Oryctolagus cuniculus: one gene and its partner. The protein of the gene in region 2 interacts with the protein of the main gene of each other region in a biochemical or structural test. Links are inferred from orthologs where the notes say so. Each region holds a gene or a part of one and is shown on either strand. Other genes may lie near its edges.

Evidence for each region. The genes of interacting proteins can lie anywhere in the genome.
Region 1: the proteins of RLIM (region 2) and LHX3 form a complex in vitro, tested with the Homo sapiens proteins (2 studies listed by BioGRID). The link is inferred for Oryctolagus cuniculus from reciprocal best matches to the Homo sapiens genes RLIM and LHX3.

The regions. Positions count from the first base shown.
Region 1 is NC_091432.1:236,771,770-236,775,953, reverse strand, and holds the start of LHX3 (LIM/homeobox protein Lhx3), read right to left. Parts: upstream 2,834-4,184; 5' UTR 1,534-2,833; coding exon 1,440-1,533; intron 1-1,439. UniProt on the Homo sapiens protein: Transcription factor.
Region 2 is NC_091453.1:54,291,922-54,295,474, forward strand, and holds part of RLIM (E3 ubiquitin-protein ligase RLIM), read right to left. Parts: coding exon 2,046-3,553; 3' UTR 1-2,045. UniProt on the Homo sapiens protein: E3 ubiquitin-protein ligase.

The DNA.
Region 1 (4,184 bases), on a different chromosome or scaffold from region 2:
CCAGTGAACTCCAGGAGGCTCTGCCCTGGGAATCCAGCGTAGGAAATGGGAAGACAAATCCTTGGCCGGCGCGGGGGCTGGCCACAGGCTGGGCACGGGGCGCTGCCTTGCATGTCCTTGCACAACTAAGCGTCATGGTTACACTTTCTAGAAACATCCAGAAGGTGTGTGTGGCCTCCCAGCCTGGCCCAGTCTGCTGGCCATTGAGGTACAAATGTGGGGTGGCCACAGGAGTACAGGTGGCCTGTGGGCACCAGGCTCAGGCCGGGGTGCAGAGGCACACAGTAGGTGCCTTTCCTCCCACGCAGTCACATCCCTCAGACGTCTGGCCTTTGGGGGCCCGGAATCCTGGGGTGCCTGGGGCTTGACCACCCTGCTAATTTGGAAAAGGTCTCTGAGAGGGGGGAGCCAGGCAGGGGGCGCGGCCTGCTGTCACGCTGCGCGCGGGCAAGGGTAGGCACCCTCCCACCCCTCCTGCCGGGGCGGGGACAGAGACCCCCCCAGTGGGTCCCAGGAACCGGGAAGCAGCCCTCTGGGACCTGGGAGTTTAAAATCCGGCTCGACCCTCGCTCTCTGCAACCGACTCGTCCCGCCTCTGGCAAAGCCGGGCCCGGTACGGAGCTGAGGATGCTCGGCGCGCCGGGGTCCCCACGGCGAGGACCTCGGGGGTGCAGCTGGGGTGGCACAAGTCCCCTCGGTGCGAATTCAGCACCGCCGCGCGGACAGCGCCCGGGTCGCGCCGCCCCGAGCCCGCATCAGGCAAAAGCGCCCACGCCCGCCCCACGCTCCACCCCCGGCTTACGCTGCATGGTGGTTCGGCCACGGCGGGGTCTCCGTCGCCCGGCGTCCCGGAGCCGGCGCGACCAGTCCTCTCCCCTCCCTGCGACTCCCTCCTCTCCTGCCTCTTCCTCCCAGCCCTGAGACCACCCCTCCCAGGAACCGTCGGAAAATAAATAAATAAGGGGGCAGCGAGACCCCGCAGCGGGATGCAGCCCCTTCCCCACCTGCCCGCTCGGTTCCTCGCACTCCCACCGCGCCAGCCCGGGAGCCCGCGGGGAGCGGCCCAGGGCGCGGGGAGCGAGGCTCGTGCCTCCCGCAGGCTGGGGGCCAGGACAAGCGGGCTTTCTCGAGCCGCAGGCGGGTTCTGACCGTCTGGGTGTCCACAGAGCGGGCGCGGGAGCGGCGGTCAGCCGTCCCCCTCGTTGGACTCGGCTCCCCCGGACGGGGTCGGGCGGGCGTGGGCTGGGAAGAGCCCTCCTGGGACGCTCTCGCCCCAGGGTCACCTGGCCCCGCGGCAGCTCCCCGCACGCCCTCCAGCCGGAGGCGCTTCTCTGCCGAGGTGCCCCGCACACCCGACAGCGCCCGGGGCCCCGACGCAAACTCGCACCCGCTCCCGTCCAGGTCCCTCTCTCCGGGCCTGCGCTCGCCGGGGCACCCACCTCTGCGCAGGTCGGCCCTCCGCGCCAGCAGCGCCAGCAGCAGGTCACCGCCCGCCGGCTCCCGGGCCGGGCCCAGCTCCGCGCGCGCCTCCATGAGTCCCGCCTCCGGCGCCGGCGCTCCCCGGGCCCGAACTTTCCCGGGGTCCGGCCAGGCCCCGGTCGCAATGGTCAGAGCGACTCCGGCGCTGCTGGGCGCTGCGCCCGCGGGCGGCCCAGGGGCCCGAGACTCAGGCCGCACGGAGGGCGGAGCGGCCGGGGGCGGGGCCGAGACGCGGGGCGGGGCCGGGGGTCGCGGACACGCGCCAGGGGCGGCCGCGGGCTCTGCGGGCCTTAGCGCGGGGACCTTGCAGTGCCCGCGGGAGGGGATGCGTGAGAAGGACGGAGTCCAGCCTGACCACAGGCGTTAGGCCCTGCCCCGCAGCTTCCTGTCCCGGCGCGGGCTCCAAGTGAGCTCCAGCAGGGCTGGGGGTCCTGGGAGGACGCCGGCTCCTCCCGCGACCGGGACTGGGGCTCCGGAGCGGGTGCTGGGGCTGGGAGTCTTCGTGACGACGCCTGGAGCGCGACCCGGAGCTCAGAGAGCGCGGGAGCCGCAAGGAAGGCCTCCTGGCGGCCGCGACCCCAGACCTCCGCTGCGGCCTCGCTCCCAGGCCCGGGTCGGGTCGGGAAGGAGCAGGGTTCTGGGGAGGGAGCAGGCTCAGGTCTTCGGCCTGGACACGCAGCCAAGACTGCGGGTCTGGGGCACTGAGTGGGGAAGCCCGGGACACACCCTCGGGCGCCCCCGGCCTCACTCGCCTCGCACAGAAGTCTCGGCGCCTGGGTTTGCAGCTTCCTGCCCAGAATCCAAACAGGTGAGCGGTCGGAGCCCCTCTGTCCTTGCACAAAGCGGGACGCACCTGGGAGTCACCCAGGCCTCCTCCAGCTGCCCTAAGTGCCCGGTGCTTTAATGCCCCCTGCAGACCCGCGCAGTTCCGCGTCGCCACCGGCAGCGCGACTCCCTGGCTCCCTCCTGCCCCGCGCCTGTTACCCTAGAAGGGCCAGGGCCAGGGCACCGGGGCGTGGAGCGGAGTTGTTCTGGCGTTAAGTGTCAGCTGTCGCAGAGGGACGGCGGGGCCATGTGTGGCTTCACCGGGAAAAGCCGGTAGCGGTGGAGGCGGCGGCCCCACGCCGCTGGGCATCTGGCGAGTGCGCCAACAATAGCGGAATGGTCCTTGGGGAGGGCGGTTCAGGCGGGAGACCCGGCCCGGGGGCCAGAGCTGTGAGGGGCTCTGGTCTGGGGAGCAAAGGCCCGACGCAGGCCAGCGCCAGGCCCTCGGAGCCACCCCTCGCCTCCGTGGCCGCCTCCATGCTCCGTCCCGTGTCCCCGGACTATCCCTCGCCGCCCGGTTCCCCGCGCCGCGCCGGCTCTTACCCCGAGGCCCGCCGAGGCTGCAGACGGCGGTGGCCGCGGGGGCCCCGGGCCCCTCCGGGTCGCGGTCGAGTTCCGTCTCCAGCAGCATAGCGGCCGCCGGGCTGGGCTGAGTCGCGCGTCCCCCGAGGGCTCGTAGCTCCCCGCCCTGGCGCGCCCCTTCCGCGTCGCGGGGAGCTCCTGGAGCGGCCGGACGCTGTCCGCGGTGCTGAAGGAGGCGCCCGCCGCCCGCCCCGCCTGCGCGCCCGCCCGCCCCCTCCCCGTCCCCGCCCCCCGCCCGCCCCCGGGGCCCGGGCTGTCGGCGTCGGGCGCGTGCCCCTCCCGTGCGGGCCTGGCCGGACTCCGCGGCCCTCGCCTTCGCCCCCGCAGCCACGCGGCAGCCGCGTCCGGTTCCGCTGCGCCCTGAGCTCCCCTCCCGGGTTCGCAGCAAGCGGGTCTCCGCGCCGGACGCCCGCAGCTCGGGGCGCCCTGGGGCTCTCCCCGCACAGCTGGCCTCAGCACCTCCTCCGTCCCAGCCGACCTCAACTGCCGGCCGCGCTCCAGGCCACCGGGGCGCCCCGTCCAGGAGGAAGGGCACCTGTGGTCACCCGACACAAACGCTGCGCGGCGCGCCGGGCGCCGACCCCAGGGCACACGGAGCTTTCCCACCAGGCTCTCCCGGAACCCGGTGGCGTTGGGCGTGGGGAGCCGGGGTTCCTGGGGCCTCCCTCCCCTACCCCAATAAGGGCTGCCACGGACCGCACTCTGGCGGGAAGTCCGCGAGCTGTCCGGCGGCCGCCCCAGCCCGCAGCAGCCCCAGGGAGCTCACCGGCCACCCGTCCCCAGCCTCCACTTCCCACCCGACCCTCGCGGCCATCCGGGGGTCTCTGGTTTCGTAGGGGAAGCCCCGCCTGACAAGGACCAGGTCACAAACGTCAGATTTATTTTTAAAATGTATTTAAATACAAAATGCTGACTTTCTCTGCAGGTAAGAAATTCCACCAACATTTCCATGTCAATTGGGCTCTTAAAATGCAAATCCTTCCATTAAAAATAAATAAACATTTAAATTACTCAGCTATCATTTGTATTAGTCGCAATACTTAAACTTTAGAAAATAGACTTGAACCTTGCCCGGAGCGCCCCGCGGAGTGGGCCCCCCGAGGCCATTTCGCCAAACCCGGGTCCGCGAGGAAGTCCTGGGGCGCACGGCGGGGAGTGGCGGCTCCTGAGGCATCTTTGGACCCCGACGCGGGGGCCACCCGTGTCTGTGCGCGACCCACCGGCCGGAGACCCCTCCCCCCAGCGGCAACCCTGCCCGACAGGGCCCCCAGGAGGCCGCTGGCAGCCACCGGTGTGAG
Region 2 (3,553 bases):
CATGGACAATTTTTTTTAAAAGATAAAATGTATTACATAAGCGCCATAAACAGTGAAATCTGCTTATATTAAAAAAAATAAGTGAAGCTTTGTTTGAACATTATTTCCTTGCAAGAGCAGTACATATCCTTTAGTAAACAACTACCATATTTACAAGTTAACTTCCTTGATACTTAGGTAGGATTGAAAGCGAGAAGAAAACATGAGATAATGAACTCTGAAATAATCTTTATAGTGAAGTTGCTAACAGTGAAGGTAGCCAGGAACAATTCCTAAAGCAGACTTGTTTACTCTGTAGAGGGATCTGACTATGTCTGGGTAGTTAGCTCATTTCGCTAAAGGCCAAGGACGTGTTCAAGCCCTCTTCTGGCCTATTGGCTTTTCCCAGAAAAACAAGTACCTGCTCCACAGACTGACCCCAACCAGCTTTAAGAGAGGAATTAGGCAAAAGTACTGGGGTTATCATTATTTACTCTTACTACTAAGAAAACATAAAGTGCCTGTCCATAGTGAGTGAGCTGTCTCATCTTCAAATATGGACACCACAATTAAATTTTGAATTTCAATTAAGCCAAAATGATACACTTTCAAGGAAAGGTAAAAAAATCCCTTAATTCACCTGGTCATCATATGCAAGATATTAAGTCTGCGATAGACTGTGATGAAATATTAGCAAGTGTGCACTAGTACCTTAAATGGCAAATCTCAAAAACACTGCAAATTCGAGACTTTCCTATGAGCACACACATCTGTACCAACTGCAATTTATGCTAAAAGTGGTTTGTAGTCTCTTTCCTCCACTGTTGGAGGTGCAGACTTGCAAAAACATCAACTTAACTTGATGTAGTGGTTTGTGTCTCTGCAACCAGAGTTCTGCCAAATTTGCCGATCTGCCTCATATGTTCCTGTAGAATGCCAAGTCATGCTGCTGCTGCTCTCACTGTATGGAACCAGTTGTTGTCTGCATTATTACTGTCTACATGAAAATTTTATGCTCCTCAGAGCAGTTTTCTTGACTCCAATCTGTCATTTCCTGCCTAAATTCAAGTTAAACACACAATTTCCATTGGTCTTTAATGCAGTTTGACTCTGCATGGCCCTATCCTATGCATGTCACAGTAGCTGTTCACATACATTAAATATTATAGATATGTTCTGCTCTTGACACCTACACACTTACAAAAGCAGCTTTGTACTTTGTTTGGTGTGTTTTTTTTTTTTTAAACTATGTTGGCTCACAAAAAGCAGTTCTCTCATTTCTAAGCATGGTACTTTACAATTTTTTATGCATTAATACAACAGTGCATTGGAAAAGTACTGAGCCTCTACAAAATAGCTTTACATTTTTAAACAAATGAATGTGATTTTTTTCACTTACACAAGCATAGGCTTTTTAATATTTCCACAAGATAAATATCTCAATTAAACTATAAGCTCACTCTACAGTGTGCCACAGTGATGGGCTTAGGAGACAGTTATACACTTAGAGGATTCTAACCTTAGTGTTATTTACACTGACATGTCCAGTATCACCTAGTCTGAAAGGTGAACAAACAATACTCAGAATGTGGCTGAATTTGTGTCAATAACTGGGAATGGTACAGTTTTAAGTAATCACTTAGGAAACACATACTGTAACTTAGCCTAAAGTGGGAAGTTCCTTCACCCCTCTCTCTCCTATGGCATGGGAAACTTTACATAAAGATCAACATGAAACAGATAGGAGCCATTGCTAAGGCAGATCCTTTAAGATAACAAAGGAGAAACCAACAAGTGTATATGATACAAATTATCAGTAACAGAGATGTCATCAATTCAACTGGTACTGAAATCAGATTGTTAGATCCTAAAATGTTGCTCTTTAAATGCTTCCTTGTGTTCTGGGACAGAAACTGCAAAAAAGGACAATGATTCCTTCAGAAAGCAATGACTCAATTCAGGTTGTTACTTTACATTTAAGCACCACTCAAAAAGTGGACATAAAACAAGTGATTCCTGTTTGCCCATCACTATACCAGCTACATAGCTGAAAGTTCAGATCTTAATTACACAACACTTTCTCTGTTACCAGAAGCTAAGACTGCTCTGCGACAAATAGGGCAGGTAGAATTCTCAGACAACCAGCGATCGATGCAGTGCACATGGTACTCATGGGAACAAGGTAGTTTACGAAGTTTGTTGCCTTCTGTATATTCTGTAATACAAACACTACAGGTTTTTAATGCATCGTTTTCACCAAAACTTCTCATTGCCAAGTTGTCAATCTGTTCTTTGGTGAGTCCTCTAGGTTGGTCATCATCATCCTCATTTAAGAGGAAAAACTGAGCCAGACTAAGGAAGGGCAAAGAGCCACTTTCATCAAATGTGACCGGGGCCCTATGTCGACCCTCTCGCCTGGCGCCTGATGATGAGCTTCCTTCATTACTGCCTTCAAACACCTCTGAGCTACTTTCTGAACTTTCACCACTGGAACTGGAACTGGAGCTAGGGCTCGAACTGGAACTGGAACTGGAACTGGAACCAGAACTGCTACCACCACCAGAACTCCCTCTTCCATTCCGTGGCTCTGCCCTCTCCATATTTCGACTTGGGACTGAGCCACTAGGTTCTGAATCACTATCACTGTACATAAAGTAGCTTAACTCACCAAAACCTGTCATTATCTGCCTTAACATGGTCTGAATTGCAACAGATGTAGTCTCACTTAAACCAGTATTTAAGATTCTACGAATGGGAATTCTGATGGTACTGACATAGGTTCTCACACCTGCCCGCTCAGAACGTGAAAATGTACGCCTAAAACCTCCTCGTTCACTTTCATAAGTGACAGTGTTGTTTGATGTCTGAGACCTTGAGCGAGTTCTACTAGCTATGCTATCTCTTTGCCGATATTCCCCAGGACGAACTCTTCTCACTTGAAGATCAAGGACTATGGTTGGAGGTCTCTGCCCTGATCCTGTGGATTCACCATTGCTGGCTGTGTCTGAAGAACCTGCTCCTTGAGAGGCATTTCTTGTTCCAGAAGCTGCAAAAAGACCCCTACTTAGCAACTCTGGTCCAGTGATCTGCTGTCTTAATGTCACATGGTGTCTGGTTCTAGAACTTCCCTCAGTCTCATTTACCAAAGGATGCTCAAAAGTCTGAGATGAGATACTATGATGAGACCTTCGTGGAATTTCACTCATTGGATGCAGAGGTGACCTGCTTCTTTCAGCTCTCGCTCTGGTTCTCCGATGGTCGGGGCTCCTGCTTCTTGCCCTCCTCAGACCTCTGGCAGGTGGAGCCTCTGCTAATGCTTCAGATGAATTTCGTTCTGATCTAGACGATCTTGTAGATGTTGATTCAGATCGCGGATTTTCCACTTGCCTTTGGCTGTTTTCCACATTTTCTCCACTAGAACGTCTTACAGATGGCTCATTTTCATTCTCTGAATTTTGGCTCCCATTATTACGGTTAACATTTATTTCTAAGCTGAATCTGAAATCACCACTGTTTGGATTAGTCCGGCTCACTGCTCTCCAAGACTGGTTTCCTCTTTGCCCACTTCTTGTTG